Linked DNA regions of Caenorhabditis elegans. The protein of the gene in region 4 purifies or fractionates together with the protein of the main gene of each other region. This does not show direct contact. Each region holds a gene or a part of one and is shown on either strand. Other genes may lie near its edges.

What was found.
Region 1: the proteins of ttr-50 (region 4) and trxr-2 fractionate together in Caenorhabditis elegans (co-fractionation; one large-scale study listed by BioGRID). This does not show direct contact.
Region 2: the proteins of ttr-50 (region 4) and sti-1 fractionate together in Caenorhabditis elegans (co-fractionation; one large-scale study listed by BioGRID). This does not show direct contact.
Region 3: the proteins of ttr-50 (region 4) and rskn-2 fractionate together in Caenorhabditis elegans (co-fractionation; one large-scale study listed by BioGRID). This does not show direct contact.

What each region holds. Positions count from the first base shown.
Region 1 is NC_003281.10:8,912,114-8,920,370, forward strand, and holds trxr-2 (putative glutathione reductase 2), read left to right. Parts: upstream 1-1,655; 5' UTR 1,656-1,667; coding exon 1,668-1,928; intron 1,929-1,976; coding exon 1,977-2,113; intron 2,114-2,159; coding exon 2,160-2,244; intron 2,245-2,593; coding exon 2,594-3,130; intron 3,131-3,180; coding exon 3,181-3,523; intron 3,524-4,091; coding exon 4,092-4,240; 3' UTR 4,241-4,346; downstream 4,347-8,257. Other genes in the region: tpk-1 (thiamine pyrophosphokinase 1), read left to right, coding at 37-203, 258-338, 748-979, 1,024-1,135, 1,185-1,324; M-phase inducer phosphatase cdc-25.3, read right to left, coding at 4,391-4,870, 5,265-5,634, 5,682-5,782; ZK637.15 (uncharacterized protein), read left to right, coding at 7,997-8,155.
Region 2 is NC_003283.11:770,572-777,293, reverse strand, and holds sti-1 (Stress-induced-phosphoprotein 1), read right to left. Parts: upstream 3,777-6,722; 5' UTR 3,704-3,776; coding exon 3,692-3,703; intron 3,638-3,691; coding exon 3,511-3,637; intron 3,457-3,510; coding exon 2,974-3,456; intron 2,920-2,973; coding exon 2,579-2,919; 3' UTR 2,519-2,578; downstream 1-2,518. Other genes in the region: srbc-58 (Serpentine Receptor, class BC (Class B-like)), read right to left, coding at 22-264, 360-461, 838-1,193, 2,125-2,299; str-238 (Seven TM Receptor), read right to left, coding at 4,709-4,776, 4,821-5,275, 5,320-5,457. UniProt on the Caenorhabditis elegans protein: Plays a role in gonad development. Up-regulates longevity and thermotolerance. Binds daf-21/hsp90 and inhibits its ATPase activity.
Region 3 is NC_003279.8:8,010,500-8,021,266, reverse strand, and holds rskn-2 (Ribosomal protein S6 kinase), read right to left. Parts: upstream 6,858-10,767; 5' UTR 6,800-6,857; coding exon 6,635-6,799; intron 6,365-6,634; coding exon 5,967-6,364; intron 5,587-5,966; coding exon 5,440-5,586; intron 5,396-5,439; coding exon 5,089-5,395; intron 4,984-5,088; coding exon 4,811-4,983; intron 4,687-4,810; coding exon 4,455-4,686; intron 4,396-4,454; coding exon 4,306-4,395; intron 4,134-4,305; coding exon 4,012-4,133; intron 3,484-4,011; coding exon 3,375-3,483; intron 3,129-3,374; coding exon 2,849-3,128; intron 2,798-2,848; coding exon 2,650-2,797; intron 2,347-2,649; coding exon 2,196-2,346; 3' UTR 1,687-2,195; downstream 1-1,686. Other genes in the region: C54G4.7 (AB hydrolase-1 domain-containing protein), read right to left, coding at 1-86, 136-223, 292-413; dod-18 (Nucleotide PPase), read left to right, coding at 400-465, 513-647, 867-970, 1,014-1,166, 1,437-1,572. UniProt on the Caenorhabditis elegans protein: Serine/threonine kinase that may play a role in mediating the mitogen- and stress-induced effects on transcription. May repress transcription via phosphorylation of 'Ser-1' of histone H2A. May phosphorylate histone H3.
Region 4 is NC_003282.8:11,637,952-11,644,351, reverse strand, and holds ttr-50 (Transthyretin-like family protein), read left to right. Parts: upstream 1-3,336; 5' UTR 3,337-3,354; coding exon 3,355-3,558; intron 3,559-3,613; coding exon 3,614-4,051; 3' UTR 4,052-4,305; downstream 4,306-6,400. Other genes in the region: prx-2 (RING-type E3 ubiquitin transferase (cysteine targeting)), read right to left, coding at 1-151; ZK809.1 (Tyrosine-protein phosphatase domain-containing protein), read right to left, coding at 714-721, 765-969, 1,017-1,514, 1,567-2,137, 2,192-2,196; rbm-17 (Splicing factor 45), read right to left, coding at 4,351-4,515, 4,568-5,380, 5,840-5,922, 5,979-6,033; F58B3.6 (Interferon-related developmental regulator N-terminal domain-containing protein), read right to left, coding at 6,346-6,400.

The DNA.
Region 1 (8,257 bases), on a different chromosome or scaffold from region 4:
GTGGAAGCTTACAAAAAATAAAAATTTTGCAGAGAAATGTCAAAGAAATTGAAGCCATTCGAAATTTTAGAGGATTCGTGTGCATCAGTATGTATTTGGCTTAACGGTGAACCTACGGCAATCAGCAATCGCGCTGAAAATTTATGGAATAAGGCCAAATATCGAGTTGCAACTGATGGAGCTGTTAATGAGATTCTTAAAAGGTGATCTAGGATCCAGAAATTGAAAATTATCGTAAACCGAGTTTTGGATTTCAGAAAGAGTTTCGTCGAATGGCCTCATATTATCTGCGGAGATTTCGATTCAATAAATAAACAGATTGATACAAAAAATGCAAAGTTAGTTTAAATTCTACTGAAATTAAAAATTAATATAGGCATTACTCAACTTCATTGTAATCGTGTTTCATGTTTGATAACATCTTCTATTAATGAGCAATGATAGAATTACTGTAGGGTTACTGTAGTGATCACAAAGAATTATTACTGTAGCGGCTGTTGAATATTAGCTAAAAGAATATATAGGCGTGAACGTTGAAAATAAAATTAAAATATTATTGAGTTGTGTTTTTAATACTGGAAGACTGAAAGCTACAATTCGTTGAGAAGAGTGTATTGACCAGGTCATAATAATGATTTTGCACTTTTTTTGGTATTTCTGGCTTGCCAACTAAATGTTATTCATTCTGTGTTCAGGACTAAAAAAATAAAAATATTTTGTCGAAAATTGTTCTTAATGTTGTTTTAGAGTCGTCCATCTGCCTGATCAAGACTACACAGATCTCTCGAAGAGCGTTCAGTGGTGCTTAGAGCAGAAAACACTAACAAGCTGGGAATTCGAGAATATCGTTGTTCTAGGAGGTCTCAATGGACGATTTGATCACACCATGTCAACGTTATCATCTTTAATAAGATTCGTTGATTCTCAAACTCCTGTGATCGTTTTGGATTCTAGAAATTTGGTTCTCGCTGTTCCTACAGTAATCCTTGGCAGGCCTATGTGAACATTAAGAGTTAAATTCAGGGGGATTCAAATCTTGATGTCAATCTTGAAATGACAACAAAAATGTGTGGAATCATTCCAATTGTTCAAAAGGAGACAATCGTCAGTTCAATTGGACTAAAATATGAAATGGGTATAATCCAATGTTTCAACATCATTTCTATTAAACGTTTCCATTTCAGAAAACCTTGCTCTTGAATTTGGAAAACTTATCAGCACGTCGAATGAAGTTACCACGAGCCAAGTATTTTTGAAATCTTCGTCGTCTCTGATTTTTTCAATTGAACTTGAAAATTGGGTCTACAAACTTGATTCTCTATAGTATCACATTTTATGGTCCCTCTTAATTCACAACTTTTCATTCCTTTGCTATTCAACTGTTCTATTTTCTTTTTATTCCATTTTTCCTAGTTTTCACCGGTACTATATAATTATCTACAATATTATAATACACTTTATTCCCTGTACCATTTTGTGTTGAAAACGAATTAATAAAAATAAAAACGAATTAATAGTATGAGATTAAAATTTTCATTTTAAAAGCAATGTTATTTGTTTAAAAAATATCCAATTCTAATGAATTATCTGCGAATATCCGATAGCGATTTCAAAAATCTAATGAAAATTGAAATTCAACTTTAAATCATTTGTAGATCAATTTTCTGATGCTTCTATCCACTTTCAAACGACATCTACCAATCAGGCGTCTCTTCTCATCAAATAAATTTGATCTGATTGTAATTGGAGCAGGATCTGGAGGACTTTCTTGTTCTAAAAGAGCAGCTGATCTTGGAGCAAACGTGGCATTAATTGATGCAGTTGAGCCAACTCCACATGGACATTCATGGGGAATCGGAGGAACTTGTGCAAATGTCGGATGCATTCCTAAAAAGTTAATGCACCAAGCAGCAATCGTCGGGAAAGAGGCAGGAATAATATTATAAATATTTAGAGCACTAAATTCAAAATTCCAGCTAAAACACGCAGACAAATATGGCTGGAATGGCATAGATCAAGAGAAAATCAAACATGATTGGAATGTGTTGTCAAAGAATGTGAATGATCGAGTAAAAGCAAACAATTGGATTTATAGAGTTCAATTAAATCAGAAGTATTTTTTTTAATTTTGTGGAAATTTTTATTTTTATGAAATTTAGAAAAATCAATTACTTCAATGCCTATGCCGAGTTTGTGGATAAAGACAAGATTGTGATAACTGGTACAGACAAAAATAAAACCAAGGTACGTTTGGAAAAATGAAAAAAGAAGTTTTAAAAAATTTGTTCCGTATACCCAAAAGTTTTGCGGCTTTTCGGAGGAGAATACGGTATCAGGTCTCGACACGACAATATAGTTTTCCGAAAAAACATAATTTATTCTAACAAGTTGTGATAAAATCTATAAAAATAATCTATAAAAATTCCGTAGCAACAAATGTTTGAGATGACAGTACTCGTTAAAGGCACAACTTTTCGCATTTGACAAAAATTTGTCGCGTCGAGACCTGGTACCGCATTTTTGGCGCAAACTTTAGGTAATAATAATATTGCTAGGAAACGGAAAATTAAAAAATTTCATCCTAGATTTTCAGAATTTTCTTTCCGCACCGAATGTAGTCATCTCAACAGGACTCCGTCCCAAATATCCAAATATTCCTGGTGCTGAACTTGGAATCACTTCAGACGATCTTTTTACACTGGCATCAGTTCCCGGAAAAACTTTGATTGTTGGTGGAGGATATGTTGCATTGGAATGTGCTGGATTTCTTTCTGCATTCAATCAAAATGTTGAAGTTCTTGTGAGATCAATTCCTTTGAAGGGTTTTGATAGAGATTGTGTGCATTTTGTCATGGAGCATCTGAAAACAACTGGAGTGAAAGTTAAGGAACACGTGGAAGTAGAACGTGTAGAAGCAGTTGGCAGTAAGAAGAAGGTTACATTCACTGGAAATGGTGGTGTTGAAGAATATGATACAGTTATTTGGGCGGCTGGTAGAGTTCCAAATTTGAAAAGTTTGAATTTGGATAATGCTGGAGTGAGGACTGATAAGAGATCTGGGAAGATTCTAGCAGATGAATTTGATAGAGCTTCCTGTAATGGTGTATATGCCGTTGGAGATATTGTTCAGGTACGATAAAAAAAGTAACATTTTTTTAAAATAAAAATGATAGTATTCAGGATCGCCAAGAGCTCACGCCACTTGCTATTCAATCCGGAAAACTTCTAGCTGATCGTCTTTTTTCAAATTCCAAACAAATAGTTCGATTCGATGGAGTTGCCACTACAGTATTCACGCCTCTTGAACTCTCAACCGTCGGGTTAACTGAGGAAGAAGCCATTCAGAAACATGGAGAAGATTCGATCGAAGTGTTTCATTCTCATTTTACTCCGTTTGAGTATGTTGTGCCACAGAATAAGGATAGCGGTTTTTGTTATGTGAAAGCCGTGTGTACAAGAGATGAATCGCAGAAAATTCTTGGTCTTCATTTTGTTGGACCAAATGCCGCAGAAGTAATTCAAGGTAATTGATTCAAAAAGAGAAATAGTCCGCCCCGCCCGTCACGAAAATGTTTTCTGAACACCTTCAATTTTGGAACAATGTTCGAAAAACCATAATCTGTTCGCAAAAACTTACGTGCTAAATCTGTTATTTTGAATTTTTTATCTTTTTCTTTATTGAATGAATAATATTACACATACGCAAAATTCTGCTATTTTTGCGCCAAAAATACGGCTTGATACGACAATTTTTAATGCAAAGAAAGTGTGCACCTTTAAATAATACTGAAAATTTAAACTTTCGCTGCTGTAGAATTTTTATCGATTTTTTAAAGATTTAATCACAACTTGAGACAATTAATAAATTTTTATCAAAAAGCTTTAAAAATCTACAAAATTTCTGCAGAATCGAGAGTCTGAAACTACAGTATTCTTTACAGGCGCGAAAAAATTTTATCGTGTCAAGTTCAGGTACCGTACTTTTGGCAATCAACTCACAATATTCTGCGGGTAGGTAATACTAACAACCTCGATAATCGATCAAGATACGAAAACTTTAAAAGCTAACCGATTGCACTAAATTATTTCAGGCTACGCAGTAGCATTCCGTGTTGGAATTTCAATGTCTGATCTTCAAAACACAATTGCCATTCATCCATGTTCTTCTGAAGAGTTCGTGAAGCTTCACATTACAAAACGATCTGGACAAGACCCAAGAACTCAGGGATGCTGTGGATAATTCAAAAAGTTTATTGACAAATCATTCAGTTTATTTATCAAAGTTAATTTACATCCTATTATCCTGGATACTAGTAATTATAATTAAACATAATAAATAGTACAAAATATTTGATTATCCTTTTTAAAAGATACCGGGAACTACATATTCTTAATGCGCATCGTGCTCATGGATGGGATCACATGTCTGACGAAGTGTCGAAATACGAGTTCCAGAAGTTGTTAGAATAGATATCACAGATGTTGTTGAACTCCATTTCTTCATTGGCTTCGAAACATTCTTCTTATGGAACTGGTGCTTCCGAAGCTCAGCCTTATAACGATCATCAAACATGATTACATAATTATCTGGCTCACAGAGTTGTACTCTTTGTTCCTTCTCTAATCCCCGCGTGAAAGCGTAAAAGTTTTTATAACCTCCTTCCAACAAATAAATCTCCTCATAATCACATCTCGGATAGATATTTGAATTCAGTTTTCTGTCCACTTCCCGAAGGTTGTTCGCCATGGTTGGTCCACGTTTTTGACTGTATTCACAGTAGAAAATGGGTATCCGGTTGATTTTCTTGGAACCATCTTTGTTGAAGAAGAAGTCTGCAGCAGTTTCTGGATTGAACAGGCTTTGAGCTCCCTGAAAAGATTTGCAGTTTTAACTTTCTGGTATTTTTTCAAAACAGTTATTATAATTCTTTTTTCTGAAACGCACACTTAAAGGCGCATGATTTGGTTTGGAAGGGTCTTGCCACGAAGGAAAGTAGATTTTTTATTAATTCTAAAATTAAATGTGTTTTCTGTTTTTGACAGAACCCATTAGAACGGACTCATGATTCTTTAAGTACGAGTTTTAAGAAGTACAGTATCCCATTCTCATATGGCATTTTCTCTCGAAAGAGTCTATTTATTGAAAAACTAAAATGATACACGGACACGAAGAGAGAATATAAATTACGAGGGTTACTGTAAACTTAAAGGTACACACTAAGACTTTGGAGTCTGGAAACGTAGTACAAACGGCAAAAACTAACCTTAATATGCCCTCCATTATATTCATAATCATATCGGCAATCAATTAGAATATATTTCTGCATAAACTCAATTTGCGATAGCTTCTGCATGATTTCAATTAACGTTTCAGAAGTGATTTTTTGGTATACGGTAGAACAGCTAGGCGTCACGGTTTCCAAATGATAATCCACTTGAAGATGGGCATTCCATGTCTCAATTTCCGAAGTTGAATGGCTCTTTTTTGAGAAAGTTAGTCTTTTCTTTATCACAATTTCAGAAGTATTCGCAGAATCCGTTCCAGATGTATATCCTCCATCAATGCTTCGTTTCCGAGTGGGTGGCGATGAGTTGGAGATGTGGCTGATCGCAGAAGAGTGTTGACGGTTTTGTCTGTAAATTATGGATTTATTGATATCGAACACAAATAATCAACTAACCTTGGGAATAGCTTCGAGGATCCTTCAGCACATTCAGAACATTTCAGCCGGAGCCCGTCATTGCGAACAATGCAGTTTTCACATGGAACGTCAACGCACATCAGGAGACTTGGAGCTAGACTGAACTAGGTATACCTGAATGAAAGAATGCAATAGAATGGATTTGAAGACTAAATGAAAAAAGAGAGACTGACTAGTCTAGTTTAATATGAATTGGAATGGGATCAGTAGAAAACCCTAATGAACACTCAATAAAATAAAACATTATTTTAGCGCGCAATGATCATGGACCCTCCCCTTTTATATGGTCCCCCTCGAGATCGATATAACCTATATAAAATGGGGCGGGCCGTTCTCCTGGGAAGACAATTGATCTCGCAATTGTGTGCCAAGGTGTCGTGTTAGTGTGGCGATGTGCACCTATTTCCGGGAGTGAGAATTTGACCTACGATTGTTTTCACCTTTAGAGCGGGAATTAGACAAAGAGAATATGAGTAGATTCGACTGGGAAGTTTTGATTCTGGGAAGAAACGGTGAGAATTGTCTCTAATTGTATTTAACTTTGAACAATTTTAAATAAAATTTTTGGTATAAGGTGTAGAATATGGCTTGTGGGCAAAACAATTGAAAATCATTAATTTGATGGATACCATAATAATTTTTAAAAAATTGGAAAAGAAAAAATTGGAAAAAGAAAATTTCCACCTATAAAAGGAAACGAAACCGGCTTCCAGGTTCTTGACTGACTCTTAACATATCTAGATCAGAAAGAACCATTGGTATTTCAAGAGTGAAATTTTTTATAACCATTCCTTTGGTGAAAAATACATTCTATGAAACTATTGAAAGCTCCTAAATTTTTGATAAACTTTTAAAATCAAAATCACTTCAACAAGGTGTTCGTTCTTCCAACAGCTTTCTACGTTTATTGTACAAAATACACTTTCATAAAAACGAATAGTCAAACTTTCAATTAGTATTTTTCAATCAATGTCGACTTGATAAATTGACAAAAATCAAAATGCCGAGTTATTTTTTGAGAAACTTAAATCTTCTGTTGTCAAATTATACGCGACAAACTATTAAAATAACAGTAGTGATACTAGTTTAGGGTATTTCATATTTGGCTACAGTATTCTACAGTGTTCCTACTGGGATAACGGAACCTAAGGTTCTTAGAAATTAATGTCAAATATGCGGGTAATCCAGCAAAATTTCCATTTTTCACTGTCTCATTAATATTTTGTAAAGTTTTATTTGGATGGTTCAGGCACCATTTGGCCCATGTAAAGGGGTGCTTCTTTTTTGAAAACTATTTTCCAACTGTCGCTACTCTACTTCTAAAACAGTTTTTATATTATTCTTCGAGTCATTTGAATTTCGAATCACTGTTTAATACAATTGAAAATAAGATTTATTCAAACTACCTACAGAACAAAAAAATCAATAGAGCAACAATGATTTTGAAGATTAGAGAACACTTTTACAATTTTCCCACATTTACAACTAACTCTTTTCCGGTATACAGCTCTGTACATTCTCATCCAGATATAGATTTAAGATGTCTAAGGTGTAGTGTAGTCTTCTCATATTTTCTCCCATCTCCACACTCGTCTCATTGTGGGTATACTCTCTTTCTTTTCAGTCTTTCTTCTTTTATTAATTCAGAAGATGCGAGCCCATTACCAACCACCTGCGAATCAAAAACTGGCAGTGGTTATTCTGGATTTTGGCACTCTGCCAAATCGGGATCCCGTTGTGCAGTGCATATTTGAATGTTATTGCGAATAATCATTGGGATTTTCCATGAATAATCCTTAGTTCTTGTTTTTGCGACTTTGACGGTCTGTAAATTGATAAACAACAATAATGGCAGTAGTTTTCGAGTGGCAGACGAAGTGGAGAAAATAGTAAATTGGGGTTGTGTGAGGATGGAAACTCAAAAATCAAAATATTTTGACATTTATTACTGAAAATTAATCATTATATTTTTTTGGAAATTTTTATATTTTTTGTAAATTCTCTCAAAACGAACAAGAAAATCGGCCTTTTCCAAAAAGTTTCTAGAATATTCTAAGTTTTTAAAAGCTTTAAAAGTCTTTCTTCAGACCCAAATATTCCAGACATTATCACTTTTTGGACATTTCGCAAAAATTTTAACTCAAATAATTAATACTTCATAAATGGAAAGTTTATTGAACATTTAAACGTGTAGCCTAATTTTTTAAAAGTTGAATGAAAAAAAATCAAAACAACAATTCAAAACCAGAAATCAATTATTCCTTACCTTTCAAAATTCGAAGCAAGCGAAAAGGATGGAATGCGTGAATTGCGATTGTACAGTCAAAACGATGGACAATTTGGATCAAGCGATTCGGGCACTGCTGCAACGTGGCAAACACGTGAATCGAATGATGGACAACGAGAAGCTGATTAGAGAGGCTCGACGTATGGAGGACGTCCAGCAGTTGAAGGTATGAAAATTAATGGGACCTTTCTCTGGTAAATCGGTTCTGATCGACGAAGAAGATAGTACAATCGACGTTGGTACACCCAGCTTTGGTATACTTCGATGT
Region 2 (6,722 bases), on a different chromosome or scaffold from region 4:
TATTTGAAAAAAAAAACCAAATTATGTCATAACCGGTGCATTATTCGGTGTCGTTCTGCTCATCGAAGCCGGCACAACTTGCTTGCTATTCCTCAAAACTTTGCAGATAATCAGTGACTCAATGACAAAGCCCATGTGCTTCAATAAAGCACTCAACGGCCCGACAGTTCGAGAATTGATGTCCGGGAATCGGGCTGTGAGAAAAACCGGGAATAGATCAAATGAAAATATGATGAAGGAGTCGAGAAGCGTGATTTTTGTGGCCTAAATTGAATAATTTCAAAATTTTTTATCGGTCTCGACACGACAAATTTCTTTATTTCAAAAATTTTTTATCGTGTCGAGACCGTGCAACTCACTCTTGAAATAGCTGTATTAGTGGAACGTAGTATAAAATGATTCCATATGAAAAGTCGAAAAAATAAAATAAATGTCAACGTTCCAATGCAAAAATACATCGTCTAAAACGAAACGATCAAGCTGCTGATTTTGCAGTGCCGCACAGAAAAAGAGGCGGAGCGTCGTTTTGCAAACCTGCGGCAAGAAAATATGATTTTCCCTGAAAAGCAACAAATTCTAGTTTTCTCCAAAAAGTTTGCAAAACGCCGCTCCGCCCACGTCTAAACAGAAAGTCCCATTTCGCTTTGATCTACAAAAAATGCGGGAGAATGATACGTAGTGTTCTCAACTGATTTCGTATGGTTAAGAACGTGCTGACGTCACAATTTTTCTAGGAAAAAAATTCCCGCATTTTTTGTAGATCAAACCGCAATGAGACAGCCTGACACCACGTGTCCGCCTCTTTTTCTGTGCGGCACCACCACTGCAAATTGAAACCTGCGAAAAAGTTTTCCAATACTCGTGATAGCAAATATTAATTGCACACCGGAAAATGGCACAATCGGCGGGAACGTCTAGAACAAAATCGCAATATCCGAATAAAATATATTGCTCGAGAATTGTGTACGCGGAGATGAGGATGATAATCACGGCGAGCGGAATTTTGAATCGATGATTGTGATATGAAATCGGAGCGCATGTTGCGAAAATTCTATCGGATGTTATAAAAAATACAATCCAGCAGCGAATAGTTCCCAAGTTGAAGCCGGGCCAAGCGACGAAATATGCCAGGTTTTTCACAGAAAACTCGGGAAAAAGCGTTTTTATCAGGGAATAAATCAAAAATATTGATGCTGAAATTGTTTTTTTTTAATTCTTGTTTGTTGCCAATTTGCCGGAAATTTCAACTCCGGCAGTTTGCCGGTTTGCCGATTTGCCGGAAATCTTCAATTTCGGAAATTTGCCGGTTTGCCGGAAATCTTCAATTCCGGCAATTGGCCGATTTACCGGAAAATTCGATTCCAGCAATTGGCCGATTTACCGGAAATTTTCAATTCCGGCAATTCGCCGGTTTGCCGGAAAAGTTGTTTGCCGCCAACCCCTGACTGGGAATCCCGGTGCCAGGCTGTCCCATTTCGGTGTGATCTACAATAAATGCGGGAACTTTTTCGCCAGAAATATGTGACGTGAACATTGCCGGAATTGAAGATTTCCGGCAAATCGGCAAATTGCCGAAATTGAAATTTCCGGCAAATCGGCAAATTGGCGAAATTTAAATTTCCGGCAAACCGGCAAATTGCCGGAATTGAAAATTTCCGGCAAATCGGCAGATTGCTAAAATTGAATTTTCCGGCAAACCGGCAAATTGCCGGAATCGAAATTTCGGGTAAATCGGCAAATTGCCGGATTCGAAATTTCCGACAAACCGGCAAATTGCCGATAATTTTTCCGTTTTTTACGTATGACTGATAATTTGAACACTTACATTAAGATTTTACCATGTTTCAGGTTATAAGAAAATTTTATTTTTCAGATTTCCGATTTTTTCAATGAATTTCCTTTTTTTTCATCACTTTTTCTCGCTTCAAACATTGAAATTTCGATTTTTTCCGCAAAAAACTCGAGAAAAATGCGAACTCTCGTAAATCGACACACGCGGCGCGCTCCAATGAGAATGTCCCTGGCGCGCGTTTGAAAATGGTTTTGGGGAAAGAAACTCGCGATTTCGAGCAGAATCGGGCAAATTTGGAGAAATTTCCTAGATTCCGCTTAAAAATAACTCACTATCGAAAGAATAAATCACGTCGATTAGAAAACGGCAATAAATCAGTGATAATTCTGGCTTTTTCTGGATTTTCTTTCGTATAAATATTTGAGAAAGCAGGTAGAAATTCAGAAAAACGTTGATTTCGGTGAAAAAAATCGCTGAAATCGCTACCGACGTCACCAAAGAAGACATAAGGGAAGGAAGTTGTGACTTTTTTGTTTTCGACGAATTTTTTGGTTCAGCTTCCAGTCGAATGAACAATTTTGTAGTGCGAAGTACAAAAAAATGTCTGAAATTAATGAGATTTTGTTTGTCTTTTAGTTGCGACGACGATAAATATATTTTTATATTTTGAAGACGAGTCCAGAGGACGAGCGAGATGCAAAAAACACAGACCATGGGGGGGGGGGGGGGGAGAAAAATTCAAATAAAAATCAAATAATGGGTGAAAAACCGGGAGCAATCAAATAATTAGCGCATCTGAATGACTCCAGCGTCGCGGAGCTTCATGAGTTTCTGAAAGATCTCCGGATTCTTCAAGTGCTCTCGCACGGCTCCCGGGTCGTTGCTCATCTGCTCGAGAATCATACGCATTCCTGGGTCGCGGAGAATCTCCTGAACTTCTGGATCGGCGAGACTTCTCTCCTTGGCCTTCTCGGGATCCTCGTCGTTGCTTCGCAGACAGTTACGCACACCTTCACGGGCTTCTTCGTTGGATGGGTCGACTTGGAGAGCATCTTCGTAGGCTCGCTGAGCCTTCGACCACTCACGCATTGCGACGAGGCAAGCGGCTTTGCGGATGTATCCCTTGACTGAAATAATACAATTTTTAGTTAATTCTGAGCAAAAAAATTAGAAAATCGTACTAAATTTCGAGTCCAGCCGAATACAAGTGTCACAATCATCAAGAGCTCTCTGGAATTCCATCAATTTCGTCAGACACGCGGCCCGGTTTGAGTACAAAATCGCGTTCTCCGGATCACGCTTCACCGCTTCGTTGTAGTGCCTCATCGCTGTCGGATAGTCGCCCTTCTTGAAATACTCGTTTCCCTTGTTCTTCTCCTCCTGGGCAAGCTCTGGATTGATATAGGCAAGACGCTCGGCCGCCTTCAACTGCTTCTCGAGCTCCTTGACTTTCTTGACAAGCTCGGGGTCTCTGAACTCGGAGAGCGAGCGGTGGAACCATTGGACGGCTAAACTCAAGTCATTCTGCTTCTGGAAAGCGTTTCCGGCACGAGACATGGCCTTGGCGATAAGCTTGTAATCGGCACGGGTCTCGCGTCCAACTTCGACGGCTTTCTCGCAGAATTGCACACATTCCGCGAATTTTTTCTCCTCGAAATAGACGGCTGAAATTCGGAAAATTAGGGAAAATCTACAGTTTTTTTTAAATAAAAACCTACCGGCTTTGTTGTTGTAGAAGGTAATATTACTAGGATCAAGCTCGATCGCTTTGTCGTAGTGAACATGAGCTTTTTCAAAGTCCTTTTGCTTGTAGGCAGCATTTCCGAGATCTTTTTCAGCAATCGCCTGAAAATAGGGAATTTTAGTTGAATTTTATTGATTAATTGTTGAAAAACTTACGGCGTCCGTCATTTTTGCCGAAATATTGAAAAAATCTGAAAAAAAAATGAGATAAAAGTGAGCAGAAACGATGAAAAGAAGGAAATGAATCGAGAAAATGAGGAATTCTTCGAGAAAATTTGCCAATGGCAAACGCGCTCTATTGAGCGAGCGAGGCAGAGAGTGTGCGAAGGAGAGAGACGCAGAGAAAATAATCGCTTGGCGGGAGACGCTTGAATTTTAAATAATACCCGTTTCGTTTTAGATCGATTTTTATACATAAAAATATAGAAATTGATTAGGAAATTTAAAAAAGAAAAGTAAAGGCGCCCGGAATACCCAATGTGAACTGGATTTCACGATAAAAATACAGATACTCCGGAAAATAACGAGCATCGAGTCAAATTTTGAATTTTTCTGAATTTTGCTCCGAATTTTCCCGAAACTAAACAAAATTCTGACTTTTGTTATCATTAATTCGCGGAATAATGAATATTTTTGGTCAAAAATATGGTACCAGGTCTGGACGCGACTATTTTTGTTTAATGTAATCGGGTGTGCTCCTTTAAAGATTACTGTAGCGTCAAACTCTTGTTGTTGTGGAATTTTCATCGAGTTTTCATATTTTCGTCTCAACTGTTATTATTTAATAAAAAGACTTGAATAAAACAAATAAAAACACGTAAATTCTAAAAAAAAATCGATAAAAGTTCCGTACCAACAAAAGCTCGAAATTACAGTACTCTTTAAAGGCGCACACCTTTTCTCATTTGACAAAGGCTTGTCGTGTCGAGACCGGCTACCGTATTCTTGACGCAAAATGTTTACTTTAAAAGATAGAAAATGAGCCGTAATGACCGATTTATTGTATATACTTTGATGTGTGTAAATTTTCAGACATTTCTCTCGTGGTGTCATAATGTCCCATATCGTTGTGATCTACAAAAATTTTAAAATAATCAGATTCTTGCAAAGTGTAAAAACAAGTTTCGATTAAGTTATACAGTCCATTTTCTATCATTTAAATTGAATGTATTATTATTGAATAGTAACCAGTGCTACGGATGTGGGAAGTGTAGCATTTTTATTAGTGAATGGGCAACAATCTGGAAAATACACTCAACTTATTTGGCTGGCAACTTTTACTCACGAAATATTGCTTCACGGAAAGCCTTGATCACTAAAATTGTTGGAAGTGAGTCCAAGACTGGGTATAGAGCAACCGTCACACCAATTATCTCGCCAAACACTGGCCTTCCACAATGAAAAAAAGGCGCCAGAAATAGGACGAACGATGGCAACTGTATGAAAAACGCCGGGACAAGTGATTGCAACACCAAAGAATTTAAAAGTTGCAGTTGAATTGAACGGAATTTTTCGGAGTGGGAAGTCAGCTCGGTTAGCTTGGAGACCTCTTTGTAGCTTAAAGTTGCAAAAATGACAATCATTGCGAAGGAAATCGAGATCAGTGTCGATGCAATAGACATTCCCAACATTGTTCTCCAATTTATAACTTCATTTCTATTTTCATCAAGTTTCCAATAGTTGGGCCCAATATATGTTACGTCGGATATGTTTAACTTATTCTCGCGTAAATACCCATTCCTGAGAAGTTCAACAGAGTACAACAAGCATTTCATTTTACTCACCCCTGTAATATCTGTTCAGTATCCGTGTTGACCCATAGTGTACAATATAAATTGACTGCCCAGAGGAAACCGTAGATAACAGGAATCAAGAGCCAGATCAACGTTTTTCGGAGTGATTTTGTTTTAAGAAATGAATGGCTGAAAAAGGTTAACGTTTTAAAATTTTTATTATATTAATTCCACAATTTTCAAAATTTTTCTAGAAAGTTTTATTTTCTCAGAAATTGAATTTCTTGCCAAAATTTTTTCTCATAGTCAGAAAATTTGAATTCCCGCCAAAACGAATGGCTTTAGCCATGATAGGTCTCACCACGACTTTTCCTTTAAACTTCAGTGAATTTTTTCTAAACTATAGTAATCCTACAGTACCCTTACAGTACTGCGACCATCTAACCCCACTAAATCCAAACCAATATCCTCTCAAAAAACGAAAAGTCAGATATTCCAAGACTACAGTAATCCTACACTACCTCTACAGTACTGCGACAGTCTAACCCCAAGCCAATATTCTTCCTAAACACGAAAAGTCAATTTTTCCTAAACTACAGTACCCTTACAGTACCCCTACAGTACCCCTCAGATAGACTGGAGTCACGGCAGAGCGATAGAAAATCACTGCTAATTAGCATTTATGTCACGGCTTAGTCAACCGCAGTAATTGTGCTTTTCCGCTGATTAGCGGTGATGTTTTGCTACGTAGTTATGCTTTCTTGCTAGCTAGTTTTGCTTTCATATTGGATTAAACTTTTATAAAACCATAAAAAATAACACGATTTATTATGAAAATGAAACAAAATGAAAAAACAACAGAAAAAAAACATTTAACGAAAAATGGAAAAAAAAACAAAAAAACAAGTTTCGAAAGTATCAGAAAACAGGAGAACTAGTGAATTTATGGGGAGTCTGGGATATTTTCCCTTCCAGCAGATTTCGAAGTTGATAGAGAGTTCGAAGATGATTGAAAGTTCGAAGTTGATGGAACTTGCTCCTCATCGATATCCTCGCTGCTCTTGTAGAATTGTGTGCAATCGATGATGGGACGCTTTGGCAGCACAATTTTTGGTGGATTCTGGCCGTCGTGTTTTGTTCGATACAAACCACGGGCATGATCGCTGCAAAAAGACATTTGTGAAAACATAGTTTTTCAAGTTAAAGAAAAATTCTATTCGCTGGCTTTTTAAAGTAAATAACAAGAAACCTACAATCTGACTTTGATATGATGCTTGAACAGCATATTGACCACACTTGGAAGGCGAGTAACGTCCACCTGGTCGTTGTCCAACTTGATTGCCGCAGCGAGAAGAGCTGAAAACGATTTTTATGTGGCTCGCCCATGTAAATCATAAACTAACCGGCTGGCCAATTTGTCAAGTCTCCTGGGAAGAAAGTAAGAGGCTCCGTCT
Region 3 (10,767 bases), on a different chromosome or scaffold from region 4:
TTTCCTGGCATATGATTGGGAAAGAGAGTGGCATGAGGACTTGCGAAAAATCCCTCGTATGAAGTTACGCCATTTTTTGAATATTTCTGAGAATTATTTATTATTGAAAAATGTTTTTGAGAAATTAAAATTTACCTTCACAATGTCGATTTTGGGATTAAGTTCTTTCACATAATCCATCACAAGCCTCTTTGACATGACATCTCTGCGATATTTTGCCATTCTAAAATAATAATAACAATAATTAATTATCTATTAGTTTCTCAATTTCTCAATTAAAACAAAACGTACTGTTTAATTACATCCGGATGTCCCCAACTTTTTGTGAATAATTGACTGAGCACAAGAGCCGATCGAAATTTCAGATCCACGTGTTTCGCCCACGACGGCAAGTTCGGAATGAAAGAAGCCATTATTGTATTGGCAAGTCAGTCACCAAATCGACTCAAATTGTTGCAGCAAATTGTGAGAAAATGAGAATCTACAAAAAGAAAGATTTATTTCGGTTTCAGGGATTGGAAAATGTAATCGTAAAAGTTTCAAATTTCGAGGAAAATCTACCAAAAACATTGCCAGTTAAGCAGTTTGTCATTGAAACAGCTAAAGGAAAATTGACGACTATTGTGGAAGAAATGAAAAGAAAAGAGGTATAGTTATTTTTTCAGTAACTTGAGAATATAGTTATTAGTTGAAAAACAAATCGGAATTCAACAAAAAAAATACGGCAACATTTCTCGACGCGACCTAAAACTTTTTGCGCAAAATTTCAGAGTGCTGCAGCATATCGAGACCTGCTACCATATTTTTAAAATCTAAAATTGAAATTATAAAAACTGAGATATTATATTAATATATGAATTATTAAGGAGCCGTACTCTGTTATTATTGCGTGTGATACAGTAATCGAATTCAATGGAGAAATTATTGGAAAACCAACAGATGCCAATGACGCTAAAGAAACTTTGAAAAGGTAATTAAATTTTCAACATCATAATTGTATAAATTAATTTCAGACTTCGTAACAATACTCATAATGTATATACTGGAATGGCTCTACACTATCATGAAACTGATCAATATGAAGAGATCATCGAGAAAACAATTGTTCATTTTGGAGATATTCCTGATAGAGTTATCGACGAATATGTAAAAAGCGGAGAGCCATTGTTAGTTTTTTTTAGCAAAAAAAAGTTATGGAAATATTTATTGATTGAAAGTTATCAAAATTTTTGGAATTGAATTTCTTATCTAAAGTCATAAAAATGAAAGAAAAATTGGCGGTCAAGAAATTTTGAACATTTTATGAGTATTTGAAAGAGCTGCAAAACTTGAGGGATTTTTAAAATTTTCATCACGTTTTTCATCATTTTCATCACGACATTTGAAAACTCCAATAAAAAAACACGAATAACTGACCTAGTAAATCGAAATTTCAGGAAAAAAGCAGGTTCATATGGAATCGGTGACTTTGGCGCTGTCTTCGTTCGTGGAATCGAAGGATGTATGCCGAATGTGGTTGGTTTGCCACTTCACCGTCTTCACCAAGCTCTTATCGCTAAAAATATTCTCTAAAATGCTTTCACTTCCATATTTTATTTTCTCACATTACATCAGGTTTTCACGTTGATGCTTCAATCGATATTATGATTCGGAGCTTTCAAACCTTCTCCAAAATAAATATGTAAAACGAATTACTTAATTTTATTAATCTTTCAAAAAGTCGATTGGCAAGTCAATCATGCTCATCGCAAAACATGGAAGAATTTCTGGAAATGGTTCAAGAGTTCAGGGAGTCACTGGAGACAATGAAAAGATTACATGGGGATAGGTGGATGAATAAAGATATGTGTATCTAACAAAATGATTATAAAAAATTAGAAATTTACATGAGACTAGATATAATAACATAAAATGAAATGCACGAATCACAATATTTTTCAAAATTGGTAGAGGATTGACTAGAAATGCGAAATATCTAACAAATGACAATCACTACAGGTTCAATGAACATTTCAGCAACTGTACTCATAGAGAAGGCAATGCCACAAGTGTCAGGTGACGGAAAATTTGTAAAATAGTGAGAATAATGAGAGAGTACAGACTAGAAAGCATCTAGGACGAAAGAATCACAACGCAAACAGTGAGAGAAACAGGAACAGAAAGGAAGAAAAATTAAAAGAAACAAAGAAAAAGGTCTAGGAGGAGTCTGAGCCACGAGTTTCTCGGATTGTTCCAGAATTTGGTTCTCGATAGTTCATCATTCCCAAATTGCTTGGACGGGATGTTGATGATGTCATCTCTGCTTCTTGTTCTTCCGGAAGACACTCGAATTGGGTAACTCGCGAACTGGAAAATGACATAAATTGTTGAAAATGAAAGTATATTTTCAGAAACGAAAATGTTCACAATGCGATCAAAATTAGAAGTATCATATTTTTTTAGAAAATAATTATTATTAATAATTTCATAAATATAATATTTGAATAGACGTTCTAAATAGTATAAAATAAGGAATTTACAATTATTTGCAAACTTAAAAACTAAAAAATAAAATTTTAGAGAAATGTCGTCAAATGTGGTGTTTCTTGTGCACTTTGAAACCGTACCCCAAATTGGAGGAGTTTCAAATATTAGGGTTCTTGAACTCACTTTTTCGAGTTTCCAGAAGCATCCTTGTCCCCAGATTGTCTTTTGATTCCGCGTCGTTTCATGAGAGGAGCAGCAGCAACATCGAGAAGATGGAATCCATCACGATTAGCGTGGAGGAATGCGCGCAGTGTCTCATTGAATGTTTCATCTGAAAAGTCAAAAGATTAGGTTATTCAATTTTCAATAACATCAGTTTAACTACCTGCTGATGATGGCAGAATACTAGGAGTTTGAAGTGGTGTATCCATTGAAGCCGAAGACTTGAGCCACATATGAGCTGTAAGCTCTTGCATTGAAAGACGTTTCTTTGGATCCACAGTAAGAAGACCGGTTATTAAATTCTTAGCATCTGCTGACACGTTTGTCCATGCGTCTCCTGTGAATGAGAATTCTGCTCTACAAATTCTCTGCATTATTTCAGTTGCCGATTCTTGACGAGAACGTGCATGGAATGGAACTTGACCCGATAGCATTGTGAACTGAAAAATTTATTCGTAGAAAATGTGCCACACAATTTAAAATATTTCTTATGAATTTCTAATAACCAGGGTTCTCAATGCGTCCAAAAAATTTTTCACGATGTGGTACTGTAGTTGCATGCTTCCATTTCGTGATTTTTATCGATTATCAATCGTTTCTTAAATTTGAGGGGTCTTTTTGTTTTTTCTCAAAATTTTTACTTCGATTTTTGAAACATTAAATTATTACAAAATTATACAACTAACCAGTACAACTCCAAGTGACCATAAATCACATTGTTCGTTGTATTCTGGTTGAGAATCTCCAACATCTAAAACTTCTGGAGCAGCATACTGTAGTGTGAAGCAGGGGGTCCTGTAATTATGATTGAAGAATTTCATAGTGAGAGTTAGGCAAATATATAGAAGCTATTAGTGAAAACAAACGTTATTCAAAGATGAATTGGGCATTCTCTAACTCTCAAGTTTACAGAAAATTTGAGAAACTTAATGTGAGTGTTTGTGAATTGTTAGTAAACAGCTTTGTCTTGAAAATCAAGTGAGAGTCAGAGAATGAGTGTGTTTCTTCAAAAATCTCTGAAATCAAGAAAGAAACCCTTAGTAGAGATAAGTGAAAAGAAAGGTTTAAAAGGATAGAAAAAGAAGATAATCTGTAACAAGAATGCACGAAACATCACACACCACCGTCTTCCTCTCTACCAAAAGTAACTTTTTTCGAACATTTGTTCTTTTAAATTTTCAGCTTGAGACACATGCTCCCAGTTAAGAAAAAAAAACAAAAATATGCCCAATAATGAGTGAAAAAAGACAAAACACAATAACTTTTGACTAGACTAAATGTTACTCCGAGTGGAGTGAATGATTGTGTGCGATGAGACCGTACATCTTGCGCAGAACTTGAACAGACTTCAGTTGTTGTTCCATTGAATTTGGAAGTAGACGTGCAAATCCAAAATCGACTAGACGAAGGCGGGCACTTGAATCGATACTTTCAAATAGAATATTCTGGAATAAGAATAACTGTGCCCGTTTTTTTAAAAATTGCGTCATAATTTTCTAACTACTCGAGTATACTCCACCTTTAATTATTAATTTGTTTCACTTTTTGGAAGTATTTTATTCTTATGTTTTGTATTATTTTGCAGCCACTTAACATAATCTGATCATTGAAACTCACCTCTGGTTTCAAATCTCGATGAACAATTCTTTTATCATGAAGATATTTCACAGCTGATACCAACTGCCGCATGATGTCTGCTGCTTCACTCTAAAAATTTAATTTTCAGAGTAACTCCGAATTAAAGAAATGCTTAAAAGAATTCTAACCTCTGTAAATCGTTCCAATTTTCGAATTCTCTCGAGCAGCTCATTTCCAGTCAGAATCTCCATGACGAGATAAAAATGAAGAGGATCCGAATGTACATCATGAAGTTGAACAATATTCGGATGTCCTTGAACCATTTCAAGAATTCGTGCTTCACGTTGAGCCTGACTTGCGAACTTTTGTGATACGATTTTGACTGCAAACTGGGCTCCGTCAACTACGCGTTCGCATCGTCTGAATTTGTATATTTTATCTTTAAAACTATGTAAAAATAACGTTTTGTTGAACTTTTTCGAGATTTTCGAATCTAGAAAATAGTTCCAGCACATGAAATGTTGATGAAAATATAAAAATTTACCTGACCACCGAAAAAGCTCCTTTTCCTAAAAGACCAGCGTCCGACTTGTCTAGTTTGTACTTGGCAAAAAATGAAGAACTCGCGAGAAGTGCATTGACATCTTCAGCCATTAGTTCTTCACCGATAACATTGTCATTGGCAAATATAACAGATGGGGAGACATATGAGTATCCCTGTAATCACATAATTTCTTCTGGAAATTTATTTTTGTCAAACATATTTCGGAATTCGGCTCAAAATCCGGCAATCGGTGCCTGCCAAGTTAAGAAAAAACTCACTCTAAACAGAGTATTAGCATTTAATGGTGACTCTGCAGGAGAATATAATGGTGGCTGAGAAGTGAATTCAGCTGAGAAGAACTGTGTATCCAAATCATGTCCAATTCTTGGAACAATCACTGGCTTCAATGTACGCTTAACAGCTGCATCCCAGTCAATACTTGACATAAATTTATGATTTTTAATTTCATCAACTCCATTGTATCCGAGACGTTTTTCAAGTTTCTTTTCCAACAATTGGCCGATGAAATCGCGAGCATCAACATCCATAGTTTTTGGGAAAGGGACCTTCTTTGTCATAATTCGTCTAAAACTCGAAGAAATTATAAAGAAAATGAGGAAATGATTTACTTGGCAATATCTTTACTAGAGTTTTGTGCTCCATCTACAGTAAATGGTGAGCATCCAGTGAGCAATTCAAATGAAATTACACCCAAAGACCACCAATCGACAACATCACTGTATCCTCCTTCAGGGCGATTGATTACTTCTGGCGACCTGGAATCATTAAACTTGAGAATTTATTTCTTATCTATTCAGAAATTACTTTTACACAGCCGTCTGTGCCAATTTTCGTTTGTAAAGAATTATATGAAAATCTCAATGAAAAAATTCAATAGCTCAATAATCAAATATCAATGATCAATAATTTTCAACAAAAAATGATACCTTTTAATATACAACCAAAAAGTAGCAATTACCCAGTTTTTGTTAATCCTAATTTTGGAACTACATCAAAAACTACGAATTGTATATTCTAATCATGTTTAAATTATTGACATGCAAATAATTCTGAGGTTTGATAAGTTCTTTTTTTTTTTAATTCCAAATACGTTTGGCAGTGTGCCTAAACTTTGGCTGGAAATTTCAAAACTCACATATATTCAATAGTTCCACAATATGAATTGGCTCTATCCAACTCTCCGGGTAGAAACAATTTACTTAATCCAAAATCTGTCAACTTAACGTGTCCTTCTTCGTCCAATAAAATATTCTCAAGCTTCAAATCTCGATAAATAACTTTTCTTTGATGAAGACTATCAATTGCAACCACAAGTTCAGCAATTACAAATCTAGCAGCTTCTAAATCAAAATGACCTCTCGAGCAAAGATGTGTGAATAATTCTCCTCCTCTCACATATTCCATTACAATGTGCAATTTGGTATCAGTTTGGAAAGCATAGAACAAATTGACAAGAAATGGTGTTCCACGTAGACGTTCAAGTACTTGACGCTCTGCCATTGTGTGCTCCAGGGTTTTTTGTTTTGTGAGCACCTGCAATCAAATTTGTTTTTTTTTCGTTTCATATTAAAATACTAATCTATAAACTTTATTTCACCTCACTTTCCCATCTCTCAAAAATTTTTCAATCCAGTTATTTGTTTCGAAAAGTTCAAAACCATTTCAAGAATATGAATTCCGGCAATTGTCGGTTTTTTCGCTCTTGGCGAGAGATGAAAAAACAAATAATAATACAAAGGTTCAGCACCGTATAAATGAGAAATTATTATTTTTAAATTCATTTCTTTTCCAAAAATAACTCACTCTGGTCTTTCTCAACACTTTCATAGCATATATAGTATTATGATCCTTTCCACCAACTTTTCGCACAAGGAATACTTTTCCATATGCTCCTTTTCCAAGAACTCTGAGGAGAGCAAAGTTCTCCATGGAAACTTTCTCTCCTTCAGGCATCAATATATCTTCCATTTTTTCTATATATGTATGCCTTCTGCCTATTTTTTGTGTTCTTCGGGTTTAATCACCTGAAAAATAAAAATTGCACGAAATGAGGTTTTGCAAATATGCACGTAGGCATAACAAGGTTATAAGTGAAATCGACTGAGCAGAAGAGAATAGAGTGAAAACAAAATATTGAAAAAACAAACTCAATTTTTGCAGATCTAATAATTTACATATTAGTTTTCAAAACTAAATCTAGTAGTTGTTTAATTTTCCAAAAAAAAAGTAATTTTGCATTCTTCTGAAATTCGAACTTAAAGGAGCTTGTCAAAATATTTTCAATCTTTAAAAGATTAATCTAAATAAATCCATGAAAACTTCGAAATTATGACAATATTTTCAAATTTATTCATGTTTAGAGGATGACTCACAAATTGGCTAACTATAAGAGTTCTAATAACTGAGTATCAAGAGAATGATGACAAATAATAGAATTTCACAAGACAAAGTCATTAGGAAGATCTTGAGTTTTAAGTTTTGAGATCTTAGGCTTTAATAAAAGAAATCAGAAGATTATACAAAATTTGGAATGAAGACTGCGAAAAAAAGAGACATGGAAAAACAGAAATTATCACATGAATCTTGCAGAAAAGGAAATGAAAACGAGAAATCCATTACCGCTTGGAAGGTTGAGAACAAGAAGGAGAGGAAGAAAAAGAAGAAGCACAGCACAAAAAAGAGGACAACATAGCAAACAGAATAAAAAACAAAATGAAAAGTCTTCTAGAGAAAGAAAGATTTGTTGACCAACTCTATTCACCTCCGATCATTTTCAGAAATCCCCTTTCCCTTTTCTCTCCATCCAACAATATTCTGAAAACTTGAAGAAGTTGTGAGCTCAGGCTTTCCTGCCAAGAGAGCACAAGTGGTGTGGTGTCATGAGCCATAAGCAAGAAGAAGGAAGATGAAGAAGGAAAGAGAAAGAGACAACGATGCAAAAGTGAAAATATGCCATGTGTTTTGCGTGTGTGCTTCGTTTTTTCTTCCTTTCTTTTGTTGCATTTGCTGCCGTGGCTCCGGTGAGCAAGAGCAGAATCAAATGGAACACAAGAACACAACAAGCAGAAGTTAGAGGAATGAGAAGAGTGAGAAGTAAGAGAAATGGAAGATATAAACAGGAAATATCAAAACAACACTTCTACTGCTTCTAGGTACCTAGATTTGGGGAATTCGTCTAACGAAGAGAAAACTAACCAAGCTAATCAACAAAATATTAACGAGAGGAATGATGGGGCCTGTATAAATTTAGTTTCTAGCGATAAATATTAAGAATAAATATCTTGAAGCTTTTAAAATAACCTAAATTAATCACTTCTGCTTTTAAAGAAACTCAAATCAATTAGAAATAAACATTTTGCAAAAAAACCAGTGATACACTAAACATCAAACGAAATATGAAAGAAAAGTTCACTGGCCAGAAATTAAAACTAGGAATTTCAAATCTTAATACTTGAAACTGAAAAGCTCAAAATGAAAACAAGTTCATTAGTTGTTTTCATCGGAATTTTTTCAGAAAAGTAATACATTTATCTTTTAATGTTTTGTATTTTTCAAAATATTTTCGAATCTATTTTAAAATATTCACCAAAATTAGTTTTATTTTTTAAAAGGGTGTAATGGTTCCGCCCACATCTTGGTTGTTTTGCCGTTTTGCACCCACGATGGAAAAGTGAATAGAAAAAATTCTTCATACTATTTTTTAGAGTTAAAATCAAGTTTGCATTCGACTTGTGTTTTTGCTAGTCAATGAAAATTCTGCATCTGACAGCATAATTTAAAAGTTTTCTAGAGTTCACACACAAATCATATTTAAAAATATTTGATTACTTTCCGAACCCCAGGAGCAAAAGTTATAGGAACATTTATGAAAAACGTTGGACACAGCTTGTCACAATAATTGTTTTTTTTGCTATAACTATAATTATCATCACGAAAAAAGAGTAAAAGACCACAGAGAACACAAAGTTGGTCACAAAAGTAAAATGACCTCAAATGAAAAATGCAGATGGGCGAGAAAGGGTCGAATTTACATTTGCATGTGTATTTGGACTGCCAACTTAAAGTTTATGCATTCTACGTAATCAAGTTTCAGAAATTAATGGGATTATGATTAGAAAATGACATTTGCAATTATAGAGATCAATTTAATATGAATGAATTAACTGAAAGTGCAAAAATTCTGCAAAAACTAGAGTGAAATTAGTAATTCATCTGGAAGGAAAAAAACGATAGTTATTTTGTTGAAATTAGATTTTAGGATGAAAAATAAATTTTTTGTTCAAATGAGAGATGAAGAATTGATCCAAACGTGTTGCTGAAAATAGAACATTTAAAATTTGTCGAACCTGATATTTAGGGTGTGCGGAAAATCTACAAAATTGCTGATTTCTCTGCAATAAGCAAACTTATGAAAGCAAAAGCAATTTGAAAAATTCGAAAACTCTCTGGAAATAATCCTAAATTTTGTTTGAAATAGAGCCCAACTACCGAAACTTGCCAAAACTTTGACCCATTTTTTCAGCAGTGACTAACTTTCAGTCTTTAGATACTTTTAAAAAAATTCAATCAAAACAAGAATTGTGTTCAAATTGACTAAATATTATTCTACATTATATTAATTTTTTATCTAAAACAACCATATCGAAAAGAGAACATTTGCCGTACAACCCTCTTTTTGAAGAGACACTATCAAAGATCAGAGACCATTTTAGATAACACTAATTAAGTTCAAACGGAATTTTACATGGGAAAGAATCACAAATATTTTATAAGAATCAAAAAAAAAAGAACATTTTTAATAATTTTTTGATATAGCCTATGCAATGTGTTGTTTGTGTGTGTGTGGTGTGTGTCGTCGTCGGTTTTTCCCCGCTTCAATGGCATTGAAGAGAGAAACGAAAAGAAAAAGAATAGTGAGAGATTAATGGTTTATAGTAGAGACTCAGACACATTTTTTGGAGAAATGAAATATAAAGATTAGAGAAATGAGTGAAAAAGCAGGATCAGTAATTACGATTGAGCACAAAAAAGGATTTTGAAAAATCAAGTGTTTGGGAAATGTGATTATTATGGCAGAACAAGAACAAAATAATAATAATATTATTCATGAATTATAGACCAAGGTCACAACAAATCATGAATCATACAAGTTCCTACAAGCTTCTGATTTTGGAAAATATATGCCCGCAAACTAGAAAACTACTATTTGAAAATTTGTATCTATCAAAAAAAAAGAAAAAGAAAAATACACAATTAATTTTGAAAAGGGACAAAAATTCCGATTCAAAAATAGCGAACCTATTGCAAAAATTTCTGATTGAATTTAAAAAAAAATTAGCAGTTTGAAGGGAAAAACAAGAAAATAGCTGCATGAATACGTCATGCAACAAATCTCATGAAAATCGGAGCAAATGAAATTAACAAAACCGAGGATGATCTCAATCCTAAGTCAGTTAATACGTTCGTGTTTTTTTTTAGATTCTTGAACCGCATTATTTAATTTTAATTTCACGTTACTGATTTTTATGCAAATAAAATATGAACACAATACAACACAAGGTTCACATGAGTTAAAAGTTCGGGCGCGAGTTGGGCGAGTGAAGAGGCGAGGAGAAGCGCCCCCAGTCTCGGCGTATCAAAACGACTCACAATATCTTTTTAAAAAACAAACAAATTCCTTAATTACATAATGTAAAGTTTTGAGAGTTCAAATTTCCTAGCTCTCCAAAAATCTCCAGAAAAAGTAATTTCAAAAAGTGAATGATTGTAAAAGTACATTTCTGGAACAAAAGGCTTGATGAGAAAGGTGGCCAAACATAGCACATCGTCATCATTTTTCTTCGTCTCATCAACACTTGACGACCAAATGGGCGCCCTTTGGCAACAGGTTTCATCTTTTTTCAACACACCGTTCTTTTTATCTATATTTCTCTCTC
Region 4 (6,400 bases):
TTAATTCGGGTCTCAATTTTTCAAAAATTCTGGCAACCCATAGAGGCATTTGATTGACAACATCATCTACTGAATCTTGTGCAATTGATCGAATCTCACTATCAAGAACATGAGCATCCAGTTGATCAACTCGAAGACAACGACAAGCCATTTTAAAATAATATAGAAATATGGAAACAAAAGAAAAAATTAGATAGAAAGAGGTATCAGAGAGAAACAGTACAGAGAAGGAATAGTGATAGTGGGGGAGGGTACAGTGTAGTGTATTATTGGGAAGAATGTTACGTTTTTGGTGGTACCTAAAGTGGTGAATCATTTTATATACAAAAAGAAAAGAGCATATTATATATAAAGCCTTAATTTAAATTTCAGAGAGCTTTTGAAATTTTTTCGGATTAAATAAGTGTTTTTGGCACTAAATTTTAATTAATAATACTGGATCAACATATCACAATAGCTTGTTTTGTAAAATCGCCGAAAATAATTTCATCCCTCAACTCAATTCAAAAAGTGAAGTGGGCAAAACTAAATTGTTCAAACAGCAGGTACTGGATGAGATTTCTTGAAATAGACGGTAGGCAGGCAGGCACGAACGAATGAAGGAGAAATGCACATAAAACGAAATAATTGAAGAAAACTAATTTATTTGTCGAAAATAAACCGAAGGCGAGTGTTCAATTGAGGAGTGTTGTAGTCGAGTACTGCCGTCACCATCAAAGTTCTGAAATTCAAAAATAATGAATTAATGACCCTGTTATGCATACCTTCAGTTGGTGTCTTCATCATCGAACCAGGAAGGGAGCGTGTTGCTTTCTCGTTAAACTTCTTGATCTTTGAAACGACTTCATGACCAGATGGGAGCTTTGTTTTGATCAGCCAGTTGGTTGCCATGTACAGTGATACATATTGGATGTATGAGTCAACGGACTGGGGGCGTTGCTCACGGATCGTGCGAACGATTTCGCTTATCTGAAAATAATGTTCAGTATTTATGAAAACTATAGGAAAAAGTATACCTTTGGCTCCTTTCCTCTAGTCAACTGATCCTCAACAACTGCCAACGTAAGAAGCGCAGCATTCCGTCCAGAACCATTCACAGAAGCAATGACAGTTGGTGAGTTTCCGTTCTCATTCTTAGCAATTTGATGGGCTGCGCGGATTTGTGCACCGAATCGATCAGGTCCAAACAAAGGCTTCCAGTATGTATGAAGATACACACTACACATGACAGCATTCGAGCAACCTTCTGGAAGAAGTTCAACGACAAACATGTCTGCTTTCGCATTTTCCTTCTTCTCAACTTTGCGGGTGTTGACGAAAAATCCGTTGGCATAGAGCCATGCTCCCGATTCCTGACAGAACAGCTTGTCGATTGCTGGGTTGGTGAGTTCTTCTGGTCTTGCAATAATATGCACCGTTTGGCATTGCTCATGGAACACGACACGCCAAAATTCCTCTACTGCATCGACTGAATCCATTTTCGGAAGTTGAACAAGATATATCGATGGAGTGAACTGAAAAATAAACGGTTTTAGGTACTTATTGCCTTCAAGTATCTAGACTCACGTGTGGCACATTTATCTTAGATCCATTGATATAATCGTCCTTGCACATCTGAACAATAATCCGGTTGTGATCGTAGCATTTGTAGTCGGTATGACGATTTCGACTGGAGTGCGATTGCCACATTTTGCATCGGTTTGGACAGGAAGCTTCTGTATCTCGTCGTACTCCTCCTTCAGATTGATTGAACCTAAGTTCTTTAAATTTGATGGAAGCATCTTCTCCTGACCATTTCTCCTTTTCTTTTTTCTTTGGCTTCTCCTTCTCCTTCTCTTCAGTCACAGTTCTATCGTATGCAGTGCTAATTGACAACATACTCTTCTTCACAGTAATCGGAACTGTAGTTTCAGTCGTTGAAGCCTTCTTATCAACTATGACTGATGCTTTACTCGGAACCTTCTTTGCAACGACATTCTTCGTTTTCCCTCCATGAACAACCGTCTTCTCTTCATATTTTGTTTTTCCTCCATGAACTGCAGTTTTCTCTTCATAACGAGATTCAGGCTCTCTTCTCTTGTTGTTGTTACTCGATTTTGATGTGCTAGGTGATTTTTTTCCGACACCATTTTTATTTCTGAAATTGGAAAATTTAAATGGTGAACTCTTAATCGGTCTAAAAAGAACTTACGGCATTTTTAAATCAAGCTGGCGATTTTCGCTACTTTTGGAAATTTAAAGAATAGGAATGACAGAATACAACGCGAAATGGCAAATATGGAGAGACGTGGATTTTTTTGAATAAAAAAATATTAGAAAAAAGGAACAAATGACAGTTTCACGTAATACACCTAATGAATTTCGATTAAAAATATTATATTTTTGAATGTTTATTTTATATGAATTCTAGTGCCTCTATATTTGCGCCTTCGCGCCTACCTGCCTTCAAGACAATCCGCTTTATAAATCGTGCGTGTCAAACTTCATGCGATACGAACAATGTTTAATTGAACTTGTGCAAATTCTGCGAACACTAAACTGGAGTTCATACTGAAATAGGCGCGTGCAGGCGATAGGTAGGAATTTATGTAGGCAGGCTCGAGGTGAAGTTTCCATAAATTCCTTTTTTAAGTATATATATGATCAGATCTTATGGCAATTGTCTTGTAGCTTAATTTCAAAGATTATTTTGTCATTTATGAGCTTATTTACAATTATTCATATCAATTTTTCGGGATTTTTTTGTTGAAAAATACAATTAAATAAAGGTGATCTCAGAAAAATTCAAAATGTCACAACTCGGCCGAACCAGCTTTAAAAGCAGATACATTTTTTGGAGTGATTATCCGTAACACTATTCTATCATACCCATTTCCAACTTTCCTTGTTAGGCTTTTAATATTCGGTATATTTTACTGGGCCCCCTGATTGCTCTGGCAATCAACCTTGACAAAAATTTTATATTGAATTTCAATATATTTCCTGTTGAAAAACTACGATTTTCAGAGCATTTTTTTTCGTCTATTCAGAGAAGTTTCTATGCAAATCTAAAGTAGAAAATGTACCAACTTATATTTGACAATCCTTCCCAACTAGGTGCATTATTATCTTCGAGAGGCCATCATCATAAAATTAGCTGTAAACATTGAGTACAACATCTCAAACACCACAAGACCATATACATTTTATCTCAATTGGCCTCTTCCCACAATTGTGGGAATAGGTCAAATTCTCTGCATCTCTTATAATTTCCCACTATCTCTGAATATGAAAATGGGCGGCGCATCAGGGTCCAGCGATAAGGAGTATAAATAGAGAGATGGTACAGTTCTCTTCATCATTCTTTCAGTAATAATGAAGTCGTTTGTTTTGTTTGCTCTCTTCTCAGTCGCTGCTGCTCAATTCGGAGGTTATGGTCGTGGAAGAGGTGGACCTGGTGGTCCAGGAGGATTCGAAGGTGGACCAGCCGGAGCTGGAGGATTCCAAGGAAACGGAGCCGGAGAGCTTACCTACGAGGCGAAAGGAAGGCTTATTTGTGGATTAACTGGAGTTGATAAGGTATGGATCTAGCCTAATATATTATCTTAATTATTTTAATTTTTAAAACATTCAGGTTCGCGTTGTTCTTTGGGATCGATTCCGTGGACGTGAGAACATTATCTACGATGAAACAAACACCGATGTTGTTGGAAACTTCCGTCTTCGTGCCACACGAAATGGATTCGATGGGAACCTTATTCAACCATTCCTCACGATCTATCACGATTGCGACGATGCTTCAACTCCAGGACTCCGCAAGATGACTGTTCAACTTCCACCACAGTACACCAATCAAGGATCACTCGCTTTGAAGTCGTTCGACATTGGAACTTGGAATTTGGAGACTTCATTTGCTGGAGAAGAACTCGAGATTCAGAATGGTGGACTTGGAGGACGTCCAATCGGTGGATCATCATTCGGACAAGGAAACAGAGGACAGTTTGGAGGAAATAGAGAAATCTTTGCTCACGGAGGACGTTCTGACTTTGGAGACTCATCCATCTCTGTATAATTCAATTAAAACTTGTAACTTTTGAAATTAATTATATGAATCTCAAACCTAATACTAAATATTCAGTATTTCACTATCTTTCTACTGTATATTATCCAACAATTTGTTCAGATTTCAATAGTATCCACTCTCAAATAATATTATTCCAAATATTTGAACAGACGAAAATCCTGCAATTTTATTTCTTGGAACTGAAAAGAATTAAACGAAAATATTTTATAAACTGTTAAACAAAGTTGATAATTAAATTTGGCAATCAAATACTGAATTTTAAAAAGTCCAAGCTTGGCCAAGAGAGATCAAAATTCCCGATTGTTATAGTCGGAAACGTTTTGGAAACCAGCCGATACGGATCTTCCGCCAAAGAATCTTCCATTCATCATAACGAAGGCTTTGATAGCTTGAGCATTGTTGGTGAATTCAACAAACACCCGAACTTGGCGATCCTCTTCTTGAGACTCATCCTGCAATTTTATGTCAATTATACAATGTTTTTTCATTCGAAAAAGAGCTTACCACATGAACAATCACATTCACAACTTGTCCACATTTTTCCATTTCTTCTTTTATCTCATCAGCAAATTCTTTTTTGCCTTCTTCACCCGAAACTTCCGATAAATCCGTCAGATTCCATAATTGAAGAATCTTCGTTGCATTTTGTACTGCTTCCATCGAATTAGTGGCGAACGTCGGAGCCTTTGGAGCTTCAGCAACAATATTTCCACCACGAACTCCAGTTTTCTCAATTGATAAAGCAGTACTCATTCCTTGTTCGGATTTTCCAAGTCCTGCACCTTCCTTATATCCATGTCTTTTCATAATATTTGCAGCAATTCCGAGTCCTCTGCTCGTAGCTTTACCAAAAGCAGGAAGAAATGAAGGTGGTGGCATAAATGAAGAATGTGGCTTCTCATCCTGGTTTTCATTTGTATTTTTAATCACTTCCGGTTCGGGTTCCATGAGCATTGTCGGTGGAGCAATAGCAGCTCCTTTCGATCGTTTTTTATCTTCTTCTTCATGTTCACGTTGTAACCGTTTCGCCACTTCTCTAGCAGTTTTTTCTCGTTGTTTCCTGTCATTTATCTCTTTTGCAACGACTTCATAGTTATTGGGTGTCATTGGATAATATTCACATTTGACATGCTCTTCTCCGAATAGCATAACACTTTCATCGGTGGCAGCTTTTGGAAGAAAACTGATATTGTCGGAAACTGGATTTGCACGAATAGGTTGGAAGGATTTCGATGTTACTGCAGTTGTAATCGTTCGATTTCGAGTCGAAAGATCGATGACTGGAGGTGGTGCCGATGATTTCACTAGTTTTTGTCTCTGAAAATATTTTTGTTTTTTAACTATTCCAATAAAAAATATTATTCAATATGCAGACTTTGTTACCCAGACCCAAAAATACGGAACCCGGTCTCGGCACGACAAATTTGAATTACAAAACAAAACGGTGTGCCCCTTTAAACAGTACTGTAATTTTTTTAATCGATTTTTCAATTTTTGTCATAATTTGTAAAAATTCATGAATTTTTATTGAAATTTTCGAGTTTTTGATATGATTTTTATTTAATTGTAAAACTAGACATTCCTATATATAACAATTGGTTAAAATTTCACAGCAACGAGTTTAAAGTTTTTTTTTGTTGCATTTTTCAAACTTTTGTCATGTCACGAACGGGTACTTTTACCGCAAAAATCGAAAAATTCGCGTCTGGGAATAGAAAACTATCTTTTTGTTCTTTTTGTTAATTTTTCTAATTTCAGTGCAAATATGATACTCACCGCTGCTTGTTGCTGCAACGCTGCTTTTCGTTGAGCCAGCTGAGATTGCATGAACGCCATCTGGATATTATGCATTGGTTTGGCTGAAAATTTATTTTAATAAGGTACACATTTTAACATCCTAAAATAAATGTTTTACCTTGTTTAGCTGCTGGCGGTCCTTGAGGAACATCGTCTTCATCATCATTGTACATTTTCTGTGATTTTTAGTTTTCAATATTTCATTTTTCTTTATTCATGCATACATGCATGCCAATATATTTTTCAGTCCTACTACTGCTAAACTAAAGTAAAAATTTGAAAATTAATCTCTTGATACTTTATTAGATCAGCAATATAATCATAATTGAAAGAGGAAACATGCGGACAGTGAATTGAAAAAGAAAACAGGGATGCTAGCGAAAGTGACTAACAATGAAAAAAGAATACAAATGCCTGTAACAACAAGGTGAACAAATTAGAAACGAGATATCATGTACAATTTAGTTCTTTAAAAGAAAATTTCATTAATAAACTGTCGATCTCTTGTCGCGTTGTTTCCCCCGAACTTGGTTGCGATGT